Caenorhabditis elegans: one gene and its partner. The protein of the gene in region 1 purifies or fractionates together with the protein of each later gene. This does not show direct contact. Each region holds a gene or a part of one and is shown in the gene's direction. Other genes may lie near its edges.

Evidence for each region. The genes of interacting proteins can lie anywhere in the genome.
Region 2: the proteins of R10F2.6 (region 1) and C49F8.15 fractionate together in Caenorhabditis elegans (co-fractionation; one large-scale study listed by BioGRID). This does not show direct contact.

Annotation. Positions count from the first base shown.
Region 1 is NC_003281.10:2,936,898-2,947,981, reverse strand, and holds R10F2.6 (Tyrosine-protein phosphatase domain-containing protein), read left to right. Parts: upstream 1-3,886; 5' UTR 3,887-3,973; coding exon 3,974-4,010; intron 4,011-4,301; coding exon 4,302-4,508; intron 4,509-4,835; coding exon 4,836-5,216; intron 5,217-5,506; coding exon 5,507-5,740; intron 5,741-6,175; coding exon 6,176-6,342; intron 6,343-6,626; coding exon 6,627-7,215; intron 7,216-7,518; coding exon 7,519-7,697; intron 7,698-7,761; coding exon 7,762-7,969; intron 7,970-8,798; coding exon 8,799-9,200; intron 9,201-9,242; coding exon 9,243-9,402; intron 9,403-9,447; coding exon 9,448-9,784; intron 9,785-10,294; coding exon 10,295-10,879; 3' UTR 10,880-10,942; downstream 10,943-11,084. Other genes in the region: H05C05.1 (RRM domain-containing protein), read right to left, coding at 807-864; H05C05.4 (DUF2650 domain-containing protein), read left to right, coding at 1,821-1,945, 2,888-2,974, 3,045-3,156.
Region 2 is NC_003284.9:13,359,713-13,366,317, reverse strand, and holds C49F8.15 (uncharacterized protein), read left to right. Parts: upstream 1-3,731; 5' UTR 3,732-3,820; coding exon 3,821-3,895; intron 3,896-3,938; coding exon 3,939-4,046; intron 4,047-4,443; coding exon 4,444-4,632; intron 4,633-4,784; coding exon 4,785-5,006; 3' UTR 5,007-5,117; downstream 5,118-6,605. Other genes in the region: C49F8.1 (Miff domain-containing protein), read left to right, coding at 1,420-1,550, 2,133-2,216, 2,533-2,578.

The DNA of each region.
Region 1 (11,084 bases):
TCCACAAGAAAAATCACTTTTTTGCAGAAAATTTCGAGTAAATTTGGCATTTTTTACGAAAAAATGGAAAAGTTTCGTTGATTTTGGGAATTTATGGGATTTTTCTGTGAAAAGTCAGTAAAGCGTTGAATTTTGCTGGAAAACTTCAATTTCCGGTAGAAAAATGTAAAAATTCCGCGTAAATTACAGCAAAATTCGAAAATTCTATAAAATTTTCAGCGTTTTCTCGTATATTTCGAGAAAAAACTGAAAAATTGGCTTTTTCTAGGGCAAAAAATCACTAAAAGCATGGATTTTAGCCTATTTTAGGTCTAAAAAAAACGTTTTTGTGAGTTTTTAGCAGCTTCCCCCGCCAAATTACAGTTTTTGGCGCTGAAAACCACGCAAAACGTGTCGAAAAAAACCATGTGGGTCTGCCGATGGGAAGACTTCGAGGAGAAAAAAGCGAACGGGCTGCCGCGGTCGGTAGGGTCGAGTTGGACACACGTGAAATACACTGGGAAATGCAGAGAATCAGACGACGAGAGCACACCGACGAGAGATCTTCGAAAATGCGTTGGAATAATCGGAGAGAGCAGAGAATCAGACGGTCCGAAGAGGGTGAGGTCATTTGGAGGAACAGAATGTGTTGGCAACTGGCCAAGTTATAAATTCCGCCGAAAAATCTGAGAAGAAATGTGAAAATTTAAAAAAAATTTGAATTAAAATGCGGAAATTACATATTTTTTCACCTAATTTTTGTGTTTTCAGCAGATTTTTCCAGTTTTTTTCGCGTTTTTTCTAATTTCAGCTTCTTAAAAACCTACTGATTGCTGGCCGATCGAGTTGCATTGCGATCAGTGATGGAATCGGCGGGGCTTCCATCGCTTCGCTTTTTCCGTCCACTTTTCGCTGTAAAAATGTCTGAAATTAGAAAAATAATGGAGAAAATTGAATTTTTCATGAAAAATGTGTGAAAAATGTGTGAAAAAACGCGAAAAAACGCGAAAAATCGATGGAAAATGAGTGAAAAATCGCGAAAAACCGGTGAAAATAAAGTGAAAAAAAATCCGCTAAAAATAGTACGGTAGACAAAGTCGTGGCGAGACCCGATTGAGGGATCAATGCATGCGCCTTTGGGTTACGGTATTTAAAATAGTATTTCCGTACTTTTTGAGGGAAGTTTTCAGATTTAAGTAATTGAAAATCTGATAAAACAAGTTTCAGAATTTTTTCCAAATTTTTTTTTCAAATTCCAATTAATTTCCAGGTTCTTCGCCGAGTTTACGACCCAACAATGGATATCGTGGCGAGACCTATCACAAAGAGTAGAGCACGCGCCTTTGGGATACGGTAGTGCAAAAATATAGATTTTTGGAGATTTAAGTGAAATTTTACAGAAAAAGCAGATTTTAAAATATTTTTCTCAATATAAATTTTGAAAAATCCAGGAAAAAAAGAATTACAGCCTGAAAAATCAAAAATTCCCCAATTTTACTGCTTTTTTTCTCCAATTTTCACTTTCCAAACAAATCCCGACGCCGGTAATTTCCGCATCCAATCGCCATATAACCACAATAATCGCCCCGTCAAGGAAAAAGTGTGGAATCGTGTGGAGACCCAGAAATAACTGAACTGGATATTTTTCGACGCGAGAGTCGATCAACTGAAACTGCCCCCCACTTTTCGCTGTTTTTTTTTGTAAAAATGGCGTAATACTTTGCCGGTCTGTGTGTGTGTCATCATCCAAATCCTTCCCCGCCCTCGATTTTACTTTTGTCGAAAAAATATTTTGATTCGCGCACTGATTCGCGCAATTCTGTATTTCCTATACCAGAAAAATGTCCAAAATTCCCGTGATTTTATTAGTTTTCGTCCCAGTTAGTGTACTTTCAACACCTTCTGTATGGTCATGTCCGTTTATGAATCCGATGATGATGATGCCCGGCATGGCGGTTGGCGAGGAGTTAGTTTTTTTGTCGTTTTTTCATCCTAAATTCAAAAAAATCGGATTCTCAATAGGGCGCAGTTGCAGCGTAAAACCTACAAAATTTAAATATTTTTAGACACACATGCGGTTTGATCTACAAAAAATGCGGGATTTTTTCCCTGAGGAAAATGTGACGTCAGCACACTTTTAACCGTGCGAAATCAGTTGAAAAGTCTCCTTCTCTTCTCCCGCATTTTCGAAGATCAAACCAAAATGGGACATTCTGACACCTCGATTTTTATCGATTTTCTATCGATTAAAAAATACAAATTAATCGAATTCTCATTAGAGCGCGCCTGCAACAAACCCAAATTTCGAAATTCACAGTCAAATTTATTGATTTTTCCTTTAAAAGTCGATTTAACTCCTATTTTTCATGCTGAATTTCTGTTAAAGTAGCAAAAATCAGCCAATATACCTCTGAAATTTAAAATTTTCAAACGAATCTGCGTTGCAAGCGCGCTCTAATGATAATTTTGAAGTTTTGACGCTTTTCTTATAGTTTTCGACTCAAAATCGTTCATTTTTCGAATTTGTGAAGTGAAATTAGTCAAAAACGAGCAATTTTCATTCGAAAAGTTCAATTTTTTCGAAATGTGTGTTGCAAACTCGCTCTAATGAGAAATTTAACGAGAAATCGAGTGATTAGTTGATTGTCCAAGTAATAATTAGTTAAAACAGTTATTACCACTGAAAACTTCAATTTTTTCTGCTACACAAGTGCCAGGCTGTCCCATTAAGGTTTGATCTACAAAAAATGCGGGAAGTTTTCGCCTAAAAATGTGACGTCAGCATGTGAGACGAGTTGAGAACTCTGCCACCACGTGCAAGTGCGCTCCATTGAGAATTTCAAGTTTTTTCCCGAAAAATTGCGCGCGGAATTCAAAATTTTTAAGAATTTTCTTGTTTTTTTTCCAGCTGTCCAACGGATTCCTTCGTCCATTACTACTCCTGTTGTGACGACAATCCATTCCAATGCTGTTTCCATTTCGAAACATGGGCTATGTAAGCATTTTTCCCCTTGATGGCCTAGTTTTCACCTCGGCCACCACGACGTCTAAAAATCGATTTTCAGCGTAATTTTCGGGATCATCGGGCTTTTTATAATTGTGAGCAGCCTATTCATTGCCGGAAAACTGCTAATGGCTCCAAATTCGTCGAAAAATGTGCAAAATGGACGAGTTTAAGCTGGAAATCTTCTATGTTTATGTATTTATTGATGTGATTTATTGATTTATTGCTTTATTGATTTTTATACGGAAAATTGTAAAAATGATTTTTTTTGTCATCTTAAAAATTGAATAAAAACGTGAAATTTATTTTTTTTTATTTTGAAAAAAAATTGCTTTCCAAAAGTTAAAAAAAATAGATTTTTGATTTATTCCTCATATCAATATCGTTTATTATCATATCAAAATTTTCAAAAACGAAATGGATCCCATATTCCAGCTTGGTGACGTGGAAAATTGTGAGTTTGCGGCGAAAGGAAAGTGCGCTCTATTGAGAATTCATCAATGTTGAGGGTCGTCTCGTAATTTTCGAGTAAAAATCGATTCAAATATTGATCTTTTTTGTAAAACTTGTTAAGAACAGCCAAAAATCAGCAAGTTCTATCGAAAACTGACAGAAAAATATTTTGGGAGCAAACGCGCTCTAACGACAATTTCAGGAATCTTGTGGTGTTTTTTTGAATTTCTGAGTGAAAATTAGTCTGATATCATATCTGATTATTGATTATAACGAGAAAACTTGTAGAAAATCTTGCAAAATTCAAAATTCTGCAGTGTCGCAAGCGCGCTCTATAGATAATTAATGGGTTTATTGATTTTTGTACGGAAAAATTTTAAAATAATTGTTTTTGTCATCTTAAAAATTGAATAAAAACGTGAAATTTATTTTTTTCTATTTTGAAAAAATTGCTTTCCAAAAGTTAAAAAAAATCGATTTTTGATTTATTCCTCATATCAATTTCGTTTATCATCATATCAAATTTTCAAAAACGAAATGAATCCCATATTCCAGCTTGGTGACGTGGAAAATTGTGAGTTTTCAGCGAAAGGGAAGTGCGCTCTATTGAGAATTCAACAATTTTTAGGGTTCAGGTAAAAAATCGATTATTGACTTTTATCGATTTTTCTTGCAACTCAATAAAAACAGCCGAAATCATTAAAAAAGTAACTGTGTGCAAGGGCGCTCCAGCGACAATTACATGATATTTATCGATTTTCGCCAGAAAATAAGGCAAAAATTTGAATTTGTGGTGTTGCAAGCGCGCTCTATTTGGAATTTCAGCAATTTTGAAGATTTTTCTTTGAGAATATTAATCTTTCAGCACACCAAAATGTTGCTGAAAGAGCAGAAGCTGGAAAAATGATCGCTCACAAATCTCCTGTAAAAACCAAAAAATTGCGGAAAAAACGAGAAAAATCGGATAACCTTGTGGCGTCATCTGATGAAGAAGTGGAAAAATCGATAAATTCTGGAAAATGGATTAGATTGAAAGTCAAAAAGCAATCGACTGGGGGAGAAAAACACTTAGGTGAGACTGCAGAATTGTAGGCCTTAAAATTTGCAACATTTTGTTAGTTGGAATTATAGCTCCATTCTCAGCGGAGATATACGTCTTTGAAGCTGAGCGAAGGAGAGAGCGTGGGAGGAGGAGAGACGCAGGCGGCGCGTACACACTGCGTCTCTCCCCCTCCCACACTCTCTCGCTCTTCTCACTTCAAGTGAGGATATCTCCGCGGGGAGGAGAGCTAGAAAAAAATTTTCAACCAAGATAATGTGCAGAATTTAACGTAGAATATTTCACTAGTTGATAATTTTTTGATATCTCTTTTAGTTGCAAGGATTTTTCAATTTTCAGCGGCTATTTCCAAGAATGAAGCAACTTTCGAGGTTTCTGAAGACGCAAATTTCAAAAAAATCAACGAGGACATTCAAAATCTCAAATCCGAGTTCGGAATCCATCCAAGATGGGATGAGGAGCTGCTCCACGCGATGCCAAGCACCATTCAATTCGAGGAGTGTTTGATAATTGCTAGACGGGTCAAAGCTCTGTCGAAGAAACTTGGAAATGAGCCAGGTATCTTTGTCAGGCACATCCCGGAGCATCTTAGAGTTCTTCTGGAAACTGACGATGAGTCACCTGACGAGGAGGAGCTCGACGAGCAGGAGATTCAAATGGTTTTTGATGACTTGGAACGCCGGCAGAGTGGCATTTTCTACGAAAACGATGAGGATGAAGGTACAATTTTAGATATTCTGCCCGTTTGCCGCGTAGTTATCAGCTCTCAAAGTTTAATAGCTTAGGGTGGGGGAGACGCAGGAAGCGCGCTCGTCTGCGTCTCCCCTCTCTCACTTCAAAATGGCTATATATCTGCTCGGGGAGAAGAGGTATCAAAACTCTGTTAACTGAGCAAATATAGAGAATTTCAAGAGCTACATTTTGTTAGTTGAAAATTTTTTGATACATGAATTCCCCGCCAAGATTTTGACGTTTTTATGAAATAATCCAAATAATTGAGTATTTTCCAGAAGCCCAGCTCCCGTTGCTCCAAGCTCCGCCCCTTGTGAGCTTCTCCGACATTCCCACTGCTCCCAGTCCAAAGGCCAAAGTTGGATCACGTTGTTACAAGGAGGGTCCCTTATTCGACGCAGAACAAGCACCGAACTTCAAATACTCGGAAATTGAAACTGATTGCTCTGTCTACTCGATCTCTTCGGAGACTTTATTGGCCAATGTTGGAGAGGTGTACAAGATCCGCGAAGGTTTGTGAATTTTTGATGAAATTTCCGATATTTCGTTAGTTGACAGCTTTTTGATAACTCTATTCCCCGCAGAGATACGAGCGCTCAAAGTTAGAAGGAAGAGAGAGTGTGGGAGAATGAGAGATTGTGCGCGTGCGTGCGCTCTGCGCCTCCCCTCCTCCCACGCTGTCTCACGTCCTCTAACTTCAAACGCGTATATCTCCGCGAGGATTGAAGCCATTGAAAAATTTCCAACTACCGATTTGGATAGAATTTCAAGGGCTTTTCATTTTCTTCGTTTAATTCATTTATATAATTTAGTATAACTCTGCAGGCATTAGCGTTTTCAAAAAGTTATCAACTAACAAAATGTAGGCAATTGCACGAGCTATATTTTACTCTTTGAAACTTTTCCAATATCTCAGCGCCGAACTAAGATATGAAGTTTTTTTTCAGATGACCCCCGTCATCGTGTCAAACGTCGTTGGCCCATTGTTGAGAAGACCGCCACAGGGAGGCCATTCAATTTGAGCAAACATTTTGCGAATGAGTTCGAGAGCGAGGAGGACGGAAGCTGTTTCACTGATACCACGTTTTCTCTCAACGAAGGCAATAAATTCATGGTAAGTTAGTGATAGCCCTTAAAATTTCCTACAATTCGCTAGTTGACAGTTTTTTGATAGCTCTCTTCCTCGCAGAGATACACCCCTGCAAAGATAGAGAACGAGAGAGTTTGGAGGGGAGGGAGACGCAGTGTGCGCGCTGTCTGCGTCTCTCCCCCTCCCACACTGTTTCACTGCCTCCAACTTCAAGCGCGTGTATCTTTGCGGAGGGGCAAGCTATCGAAAAATTGTTAACTAACAAAATGTAGGAAATTTTAAGCGCTACAAATTGAAACTATTTTCAGAAAAATCTCGCCACCTGGAACCTAGATGATCCTGAAATTGTGACCGGATTCCCCAGTCAGATCCTTGTTCCATCACTGCCGACTCTTCCAGGACCACAAGCTGCAAAGAAACATTTCCAGAGAATTCAAAATTCTGGTTATTGGAGAAGTTATGTTCTGAAAGAAAAATCAGATTATGGTGCATCGGAAACTTCTCTGGAAGAGCCACGATTTGTAGCCGGAAAGGATACAAAAAAGAGCAAGGAGAAGGATCCTCCTTCTGCTCCACCTCGTCCACCCAAAAACCTTGCCCTTGAAGCTCGACCGGCTCGCTGGGTGCCAATTCCAGCCAAACGTCCACGTGGAGAGACAAAAATTGACGACTTGGGTCGAATCTGGGATGTTCCACCGGCTGACGAAGCCAATAAACTCAAAGATCTGCCACGTCAAGAGGAGGCGAATCTCATGTGGGTACCATTTCGTGACGTCAAGCCACCGTATCTTCACGACGGGTCGGATGATTTAAGAAGCATCAACTCACAGAGTTTGTCGAGTCAGTCGGATGTGACAGATTGGATGGACGAGACGAGAAGTGACGTCACGATGTCTGGTAAGAATCACCCGCGGTAGTTCTTCCTGAAGCAGCGATTTCACGTGGATTCAGAAAGTCCCATTTCGCTTTGATCTTTGAAAAATGCGGGGGGAAGAGACGCAGACATCTCATCTGATTTCGCATGGTTGAGAGCGTGCTGACGTCACAATTTTCTGGAAAAATATTCCCGCATTTTTCGTAGATCAAACCGCACGTGCGATTTGCGGAAAATTTGTCGAGTTTGCCGAGATTTTCCGCACACCCCTGGGCCGAAGCTCGGCCGCTAATTCCCCCCTGTAACATCTCCGATTAAAATTTCAGAATCCGAATGGAAAGGCGACCAAGAACTCGCAGAGCCTGTGGGATTCCTGAACCGACATGAAGTTTGGAAGAAGAACCAGTACAAGTGGGCTCTGAAGAATCGACTCAATTTGGCAGGATATCGAGATGAGGATCAATTTGATCGAATGGCAAGACGAGAGCATCAGAAACATGAGGACGTGAGCATTCGAGAATCTTTTTCAATTTAGTGCTTTTTTTTCTTGATATTTTTACCATTTTTAGCAGACTGATAAATCCGAAGAAGCGGAAAAGAAAATGAAGATCAAGGCCGACTTGGCTGCAAAGGAGATATGGGATAAAAACATGGAGCACAACGTGGATGAAATACTTATGAAACGTGTCAATCGTGTCGAGATGTGCCGTATTCAAATGGCATTGCAGAATCTGGATCAGAAGTTGGTGGATCAGGAGAAGGAATCCAGAAAACCATGTAAGTTTTCAAACGACTATAGCTCAGAGAAGAGCTCTAAAAATTGCGCGGATAAGAGAAATACTGAAAATTTAATGGGCTTCTGGCCTCCCTCATGTTTTTCGCGCTCCATCGGCACTCGCCTGTTGGACAACGTGTGGGAAAATGTGTGCTCTACTGAAAACCGAGCCGCGACGCGACATGCTACGCGCCGTAAATCGACCCCGGCTGTGGCCGTGCACGGGGCTACGTAGATCTACGAGAATTGCGGGAAATTAGACTCTGACTTCTCATCTGATTTCGCATGCTGACGTCACTTTTTTTTTGAGAAAAAAAAATCCCGCATTTTTCGTAGATCAAACCGTAATGGGACAACCTAACACCACGTGACATTTTAAAATGTGAGCCAATTTTTGGATTGCCCAAATCTCTACAAAGATATAAGGGTTTAAACACACTCCCACGCACTTTTTTGTTTTAAACTAATATATCTCTGTTGACAGAAGACATATTGAAAAGTTGTCAACTGAGAAACTATTGAAAATTTTACGAGCTACATTTGGACAGTTAACAACTTTTTGATTACTCGAGTCTCCGCTGAGATATAGACGTCTAAAGTTTAAAGAAGCAACGAAGTGGTGGGACCGTGTCTAGGTGTCATATTCTTCTTTGTAGCTCAGTTCAGAAAAGAGTTATTAAAAAATTGTCAAATAATAAAATATTGAAAATATTACGAGCTATATTTTGTCAGTTGTCAACTTTTTGATTTCTCGAATCTCCGCCGAGATATAGACGTTTGAAGTGAACCCACACACTCCTTTGATTTCTAAAAAAAACCAAAAATTTTCAGTGGACAACGCTAGAAAGTACGTTGAGGAGTCATACTGCAACCACCCATCCGAAGAGATGGCCATCACTCAAATCGCGTTCGAGTCCGTCGACAAAATCGACAACTACATTCAATCGTGCTGTCAGGACCGCTGGGAGCACCTTTATCGTTGCTCCTCGCCACGCTACACACACGACTGGGCCCGAGTCCGAATGAGCTCGGATCAGCCGGACGACTGTGACTTTTATGACGCGTGTCACGTGTTTCCGTGGCAAGAGGTGTTTGAGAAGGTGGCACACAAGTACAAGAACAAGTTGATTTGCGCCTCGTCGCCGATGTACAATGTGACGGTTGGAATCTTGTGGCATTGGTTGTTCGAGAATGATGTCAAGTACGTGGTGATGCTTAATCAGTTCCTTGAAAGTGAGTTTTCTGAGATGTTCCGATTGTTAAGCTTCTGTTCAGAAGGACTTCAAGCTTCGGAAGTGTGGTTCCCACTGGTCAAAGGAGAAAAAGCGAGATTCCGCCGAAATGCATACAGAGAGTACATCGTCGAGTGCACCGACGTCAAAAAGAAGTACAAGGCGGCAGGGATTCAGAGACTTGTCAAGGTCACCTTAGTCCAGTGAGTTGCCTGCCAATGGCCACACTTCTAATCAATATATTCCAGCAATCACCAGGTAATCGAGACAAAACAGATGAAGATCCTGCATATGCTCGAATGGGATCAAGATTGTCTCCCCGAAAATTGGCAGCCGTACGTTAGAATTTGCGAGAGAATGAATCGAGAATCTCTGCATCATCCGGTGGTGGTGATGAGCAAGCACGGCAGTGGACGAGCGATGACACTGATTCTGTCACTGATGGCTGCGGTGATGGCTCGTCTGGATGATGATCTTAGCATCCATTCCATGTGTCAGTCGGGAAGAGCTTCAAAGCGTCAATCGATCACTTGCTGCAATCAGGTCTACTTTTGGAGGATGGTTCATTATGAGTTATTGTTCAGAGTGAGTTTATTTTAGACTCAAGCTTAGGCTTAGGCTTAGGCTTGGGCTGAGATGTAGGTTTAGGCTTAGGCTTTGACTTTAGCTTAGATAGGCTTAGGCTTAGGTATAGGCTCTGGCTTAGGCTTATGTTCAGGCTTGGACATAGATTTAGGCTTAGGCTTAGGCTTAGGCTGAGGTTTAGGCTTAGGCTTAGGCTTAGGCTCAGGCTTATGCTTCGGCTTAGGCTCCAGCTCAGGCTTACGCTCAGGCTTAGGCTCAGGCTAAGGCCTAGGCCTAGACTTAATCTTTGGCTTAGGTTTAGGCTTAGGCTTAGGTTTAGGTGTAGCCTCAGGCTTAGGCTCAAGATTAGGTTCTGGCTTAGATTATTTTTTTAAATTTAACAAAAACCTTTAAAAGTGAGCAAATTGTGTTGTCGATTCATATTTTAGTTAGTTATCCCATTATAAATTACTGTGACACCCCAGATTGGGAACTCCAACTTACTTAAAAAAAAACTTGCCAAATTTTCAGTGGTTCAAGCCCCTCCGCGAGCTACGTGTCCGTATGCCTGAACGTCTCGAAGCCTACCAAGACGTTGTTATTGCTCAGCAGAAAGACTACCTACAACTCGAAGCCCGTCACTGGGCCACGTACTTTGAATATGAGATGGAGCGGTTCATCCGAATGGAGTATATGGTGGAACATGTTCAGAAGCAGCGGGATGGTGATCGACACGAGATGCGGGAGCTTCGAAAAACCGACAGGCTTCATCAAGCGATGACTGCAAGTGAGGAGAGGGATGAGAGAAGTCCGTACTTTGACGGAAAGCCCATTCGTCGCAAGCCGTTGCGTCTAGGTGATAAGCCAAGGGATCCGAAACGTCCAAAAAGACAATACGTGAAGCGCGAGGACTTTTTGCCTGAACATGAGCTTTACTCGGCGCTTGAAATGGAGCCAATGATCAGTGGATATCAAATTAGTGGAGCGTATCGTTGGGTGAAGCCGAGTGAGATGAAGAAAGTGTTCACGGAGAAGATTGAGATTCCCCAGAACTGGAAGTGTTGGTATACGAAGGAGGAACAGAAGGGTATGCTGGCTAAGGAGACGACATACTAGGATTTTGATGACTTATTGTATTGATTTTTTTTTCTGGATTTGAATAAAGAGAGCTTTGAAATATGGGAAAAATGCTAATTTGAACGAGGAGCAACGGTTCAGAAATTCAGAAAGTTTATTGTAAGGAAGAAATAATACAATTGGTATTAAATAAGAAATTTGCAATGTTTGGCCATTCACATTTCTGTTCCGAGATGTGCTCTGG
Region 2 (6,605 bases), on another chromosome or scaffold:
TCAACGAACATCAGAATATTACAACATCACTATTAATCATACGCTGAGTTGTTTGGCATTCATTTTTCAATAAGTTTTCTCTGCATTGCTAATGATATTCTACATAAATTCAGCAGGCACATTAAAAAGAGAGAACAAATGAGAAGAAGAAGAAAAACAGAAGTTTTGTTTGTGTATTGCTTTTTCTCTCGTTTGCCTAGCCCCGATTATCACAGTTGTTTTCAAGTTGTAACGAGGAACTGGGCAGTAAAGGCTTCCGATCTATGATTTTCAAGGGTCCCAGGGTTTCACGTGGAACTGCAATTGTGATGAGCTAGGCTTTTCCTCTCTGTTTCTCTTATCTCTCGCGTATTGTCCTATGAGGTTATGCAAAAAACAGAGTGGTTAGACATTTTCTAGAAAAATACTTTTCTTAATAGGGGTTAGCATTTGTTTCTTAAATGTGGACCAGCAGAGTTTTTTTTTGTTTTTCGAATACCATTTATTAAAAAGTTGGTATTGCTTTTGAAAAAAAAACACACTTTTTGTCAAAGGAACTATTAACCAAAAGTAATAAAACTTGAGTGCTCTTAGCAAAACCAATTGCTCACAAGAGTTCCCTTGTAAAGCAGTAGTTGAAGATGGGGTATCGTCATTTAAAACTGTAACGTAGCTCAATAAAAAAAAACGTACTTAATTTATAATATTTACATTTTTAGACAATAAGCTGTTAGTTAGAAACGTCTACTTACTGAATCTGAAACCTTTCCAAAAAGTGCAAAAATCTAATTTTCCTAAAGATGTGCAAAATTAAATTTTTTTGACATCACAAAAAGACAGCAAGCCAAAAAACATTTCCCAATTTAGAAAACAGGATATGCTGGCTGTTGTTTTTCAATTGACAAAACCTATAGGAAGAACGCTGAAAATTTCGTTTAAATATTTCAGAAAAGAAGGTTATAAAAGTTTTAAGTCAGTCTACAGTAATCCTGACAACAGTGATGATCTCTAATTTTACTTAGTTTTGATAGACACAAACTAAATATGTTGAACACTAAACAAAATATTCTAAACCAAAGACATTGTTCCCAGCTGAAAAGTCTGTTCACTACCGCCCCCTTTTTCCAATTTACAAGTGACAGCTTAATTTTCACCAATTTTCCAGCCAAGTTGATCTACTCAATCTTTCGCTCAGTCTGTGTTCAGCACATGAATTTTTCATTTCTCTCTTTTTCTTCTTCCTTTTTTCATTTTTTTTCGCTTCATTCCTTTTTTACTCCCCCTCCTTTTTTGCCTTTTCTTCGTTTACATTTCGCATACATTCATCCATACTTCTTTTCAAGAAACAACTTTTCCCCTTCGCCGCTCTTCTCCTTCGGAAACTGCCCCTACATATTCATCCTCATTTTTCATGCTTCCTCAGTAAGAGAGCACCACATCATGAATAGCTCTCAACGTCGCAGCATAATGTTTGGCGAAAAGGCAGTTATCGAAATGGACATCGATCCGTTTGTATCGAATCTAGACACACCTGCAGACTTGAAAGTCCCTCCGACGTATACTGGACCAATGTGAGTCTCATTTTCAGATTTAAAAATTTGTGTCAAAACATAAATGCGTAAATCGACAGTTGAACTGTAAATTCTGTAAATTAAGCGTTTTATGTATGTAATAGTTTTTCTATGAAAACCAGTGGCACCGCTCACTTTGCATTCATTTTGAAAATAATTTGTATGTATACTTCTGAAAAATCATGTTTAAAAAAATCAAAGTTCATATTTCTAAAAATTGCATTTTTCAAAACACATTAAAAACGTATCCATTAAATAAAAATATCAACTTTTAAGGAGCGCGCGTGGCAAGACCATTTTGTAGAAATGTGATCTTGTTGAAATTACTAAAAAAACAAAATAGAACACACATGGCATGACTCCGTTTCGAAAAAAAATTGTACTCAAACGCAGGGTTAAAGGATTTTAATCATCGATTGTCCCCATTCTATAACTTATTTAAACACTCTATTTCGAATATCAACCTCAAAAATCAAACCCAACACCTGTATAAACAATCGCACTTCTTGACAAGCTTAGTATTCTGAAATCATGTTCCAAAAACCTCAGATTATGCGCATATACGTAGTATTCAAGTTTCAGGCTCTCCACACAATTGGCGACGCCAACAATGAAAAAACGGGACCAAAATCAAAATACACACAGAGATGACGAGAAGAAAGAAAAGTGGGGTTTTTTAAATTGTTTAATTCAAGTTCAATAAGGGTCAGACTTGAAAAATATGTTGATATATTTTTTGTCCCTTCAAAAAAACTGTGATTTGTGAAGCTTTTCGAAACAAAAGCTTTGTGAAAATTTCCCACACTTTTTTCTCAATTTTCTTCGCGTTTTGGTGATGATTTTGGTTCAAAAGATTTTGAAACAAAAAGTATGCCTTTTGTATTTTTCCAGTAAACAAGTTTTTTATTTTTATTTTTAAGTAGCCCCGTAGAATTTTTTCAACTTTTCTATCATTAATCAATAAAGAAATCATAAATTTCAGTAATGCTACCGAGGCAGGAGAACCATCTGCCAAAAAAAGATGTTAGTTATCTGAATCTTCTCCAATATGCACAAACGTCCAACTTCCAAAGTTCTCAGCTAAATAAACTGCATTTTCATATTTCACCTTTGACTTTATAGCTCCGTTTTTTTTTCAATTCCCACACCTCCTGGTAGTATTTTCAAAATCTGGTAGATTTTCTGGTTCAGATGCTTTTGTCCTTCATTTCCAAAGATATTAGTTAGATGCTCTTTAACAATGTTTTAAAAACTGTAAATGTTACTACATCACTTCACGAGTTCTACATACTTTTCCTGTTCCCGATTTCTCAAAGAATTGTTTTTCTCATCGACATATTAATGCGAATACCGGTCTAATTATATTTGGTAGATTTTTCGTTGTCCCAGTACATTGTTTCTCACGTCGTGTCAAAAAAAAAATGAACAGTTTTTTTTAAATTGTAGTTGACAATTTCAAAACAAAATTTGCAGATTATGTACAATGTATTTTACCTGCTTTGGTTTTGACAAATGTTATACACTTCTGGTGAATTTACAATTTGAAACGCAGTAGAATAATACAGCAAATTAACATTGGAAGAGTATGCTCATTGAAAATATTTAAACATATCTCTTTTAAATTGTCGACAACAACATCTTGAAAATATGAATTTCAATGCATATTTAGTGCAATCCATTTTCAGTTTTCTATTTTATTTCTCAAAAATTCATTTTTTCTAGTTGCTTTGCTTACTGAATTTTTGCTATTAAATCTGTCCCGCATAAAAAATCGCAAGAATGTTCGAGATTTGCTAAATATCAAAAAACCAAATAATCAAGTGAAACAATGACCATTGTAATTGAAATTTTGCGGACTGATTGAGAATGACGTTTATCAAACTCATTGTTTGCAACATAAGACTACATTCACCAGGTGGAATATGAAAGGAACAGACCCTGAACTTTTTGCTCAATTGCCACAAACCACTGTTTCCTACCGGCAGACGAAGGGGACAGACTCAAACAAAATCCGTCTTGTTCTGTTTTCTGTTAAGCGACTTAAGACAGGTAAGCGCCTCTGACCACTTGCTCCCGAACAACAATCAACAAATGCGGTTGTTTGTCTTAACAGGAAGTTTGCCAGTATTCAGGCGCGAATATAAAAGGTTGGCAACCGCCTGGCAAGATCAGAGCACTTTTCACAACGAACAACAAAGTCGACTTCTAGCTACGCAGAAGTAACGATATCCAGCAAATATTAATTTTTTTCTGGCTGTAAAATTGCACCAATGTTAAAGTTCGCAGTTTTAGCAGTTTCATACCTGGCTTTTGTTGCGGCCTTCCCAACAAGTAATCAACAACAGGTATGAATATCAGTTTTCTATTTTCAGTTTTTATGATTTGCAGTACACTCAAACCGCCCAGCAATATCCTGCTCAGCAGGAGATCAAGCCATCACAGACGGTTCCTCAATTATCGGCTCACCACGGATATGTATACGGACCTCAACAAGCCGTGAGTGCCAAGAAAAATTACTGTACATTCAAATTGTAAAAAATTATACTTAATACGTAGTGCCTAATTTTTGTGCATTCGAGAAGAGTTAATTAAGATATAGCCTATTCTTAAATAGTTGGTTTAGTTTATTTTTATTTTACTTTTTAATTCGCATATATTTTTATTAACAAACACAAAAATAATAAGATAGTTCTTGCTAGAGGCATGTACACATTCAGCACTCACAATTAGTATAGTTTAGCATTGTTTGTGAACCGGTGCAGAGTGTGATCCTACGGAAGTATTTGAATTCTCAAATTCTTGCTTCATTTTTGACTGAGAACTATTCGAGATGAAAATAAGTTGTTGAGAATAGAAGAATGTTAAATTAAAATTAAAAAATTAAACGTTTCAGATGCCCCAACTTTCACAATATCCTTCTCCATCAACAGCTGCACCTGCTCCAGTTCCGGAGCAACCAACCCTCAATAATTTGCCATTAGAAGTAAAACAAAGTGCACAGACCCTCTTTAACGATCCTGACTTTCAAATGCTGGCCAGAAGCCTTCAGTCTGGAACTGGAAGCAGTGGATACAGTAATCCGGTTAGTTGCTTTAAAAATTAATTTAATAAAAAAAATCTACCCTGAAAAATCTACTTAAGTAATAGCTTCAGAGTGTCAAAAACGTTCGAATATTACCCTGACAATCTTTAATCGTAGAATGAACAATTAAATTATTTTCAAACTGATTTCAGCTATCCGCCCGCGACATTCCTCCGTGCTCTTCCGACGGCCGCTCTGTGACCATCGATCATCTCAGAATCTCTCCAGAATCACTTGTCCAAATTGCTCGTCTTGCTCAAGCGTTCGGAACGAACCCAGATTGGAAAAAGTTGCGTTTGGCTGACATGAAATCTGCATTGGGGACGCCAATGCATTCCACCCATCAGTATGCTGCACGATCTATTGGTCTCTAAATTGAAAAAGTAACATTATTTTATTTATGTATATATTCAACAATTTAAGTTATCTAACTTATTTCATTTTCATGTGTTTCTACTTTTCAAGGTATAAATACATATATCCTTATTTGCTTTTTCTGGAGAAACAAAACCATTACCAGTTTCCATTAGCTTAATAATTTACTAAATTAACTTTCAATTAAATGAGTTAGGATATACTGGTCGTCTTTGTTTTAGGAGAATACTTTAAACATACAATTCCAAAAAACTAGTGGTTTATATCTAAACATGAACCCGTAGCCCATTGAGTGAAGATTACAAAAAATTGAGAAAAATGTTCCCTTTTCTTTGAAAATACCTAGTGAAATGCATTCCTAAATTCAAACCTTAAATCACAAATCATCGTAATATTTCCGCTCTCTAGAGTGCACAATGTGATTGATAAAATATGGTCACACCAAAAATGTGCAGTGTTTGCTGATAAACCATGCTGGAACAAGTAGACTATGCGACTTCGTAATCGTCATAACGGTTGATGTCTAGCATAGTTTACCGGGTGAAAGTACATTAAATGAGAAGGAAAAATGTCATAGGTTTGGCTGGGCAAAGGGCGAACCTTGATATTGTGTTCGTGTTCGTTTTGTATGATTGGAGTAAGCATGCAATGTAAAAAATTAAATAACATTCTTTATATAATTGGAACTCTTTTGTTATAGTGGTCGATATCTAAAATGTAGTATTACGAATTTGTTTCCCAATTTGTTTCCCAACTTTATCTAACTGGCATGGTTTGTGAAAAACTTGGAAAGACTTAATTCAAGCTGCGTCCGAGTTAAGCCAAAGCTTGGCCCCCTGTTCATCGCAAAAGTTATGCATCACTTCAATTTTTTATCGTGCCCTTCCTGAACTGTCTTCCTCAAGTTTTCAATTTTCCCCATAAGAAAAATGTTGCCAATTTTATTGTATGCTGTTTTCAATCACATTTTCTCGAAAAAATCATCGATGCACTTTTTGAATTGTCAGGCGAAAAAGGTTTTCATTGCAATTTACTTCTGATACAGTACCCCGGAAGGGAGGGCTCCAAAGGTATTTGCGTGCAGATTTTTAGAAATGTGATGGCAGCTAACGCGTTTATTACACGCTGTGTGGGTTTTAAGGGTCGAGGAAAAAAGGCGAGTATACTCTCTTCATTGACGTGTCAACGTCAAAGAACGATTAAGTGGGTACAATAGCACGTGAATTGGAGAGGGTCCGTTACGTGCAATATTGTTAGAACAGTGCATCATTGGACATTCCGTTGGTTATTTCGGCGTGTTTCAATTGAAAGACCGTTATTCATATCTTATTAGGAAGCAATTCAATTTGCAAGTTTGTCGTTTTCAGGTCAACACAAACCGTGTCACGTTGCTCAAGTTGCGCTGCAATGTCATGTGAACAAGTGCAATTTTCTTAAAATAGAACTGTCACTGTTCTATTTCTAAAACTGATGTATGTATGTTACTGAACGAATTGAATCACACCATGTTTATGTAAGCAAAGATACGCTTGTTTATAATTAGTTTTTTTTTCTGAAAATCAATAGTCTGCAAATTTCGTAGTTCATAGAAGACTAGA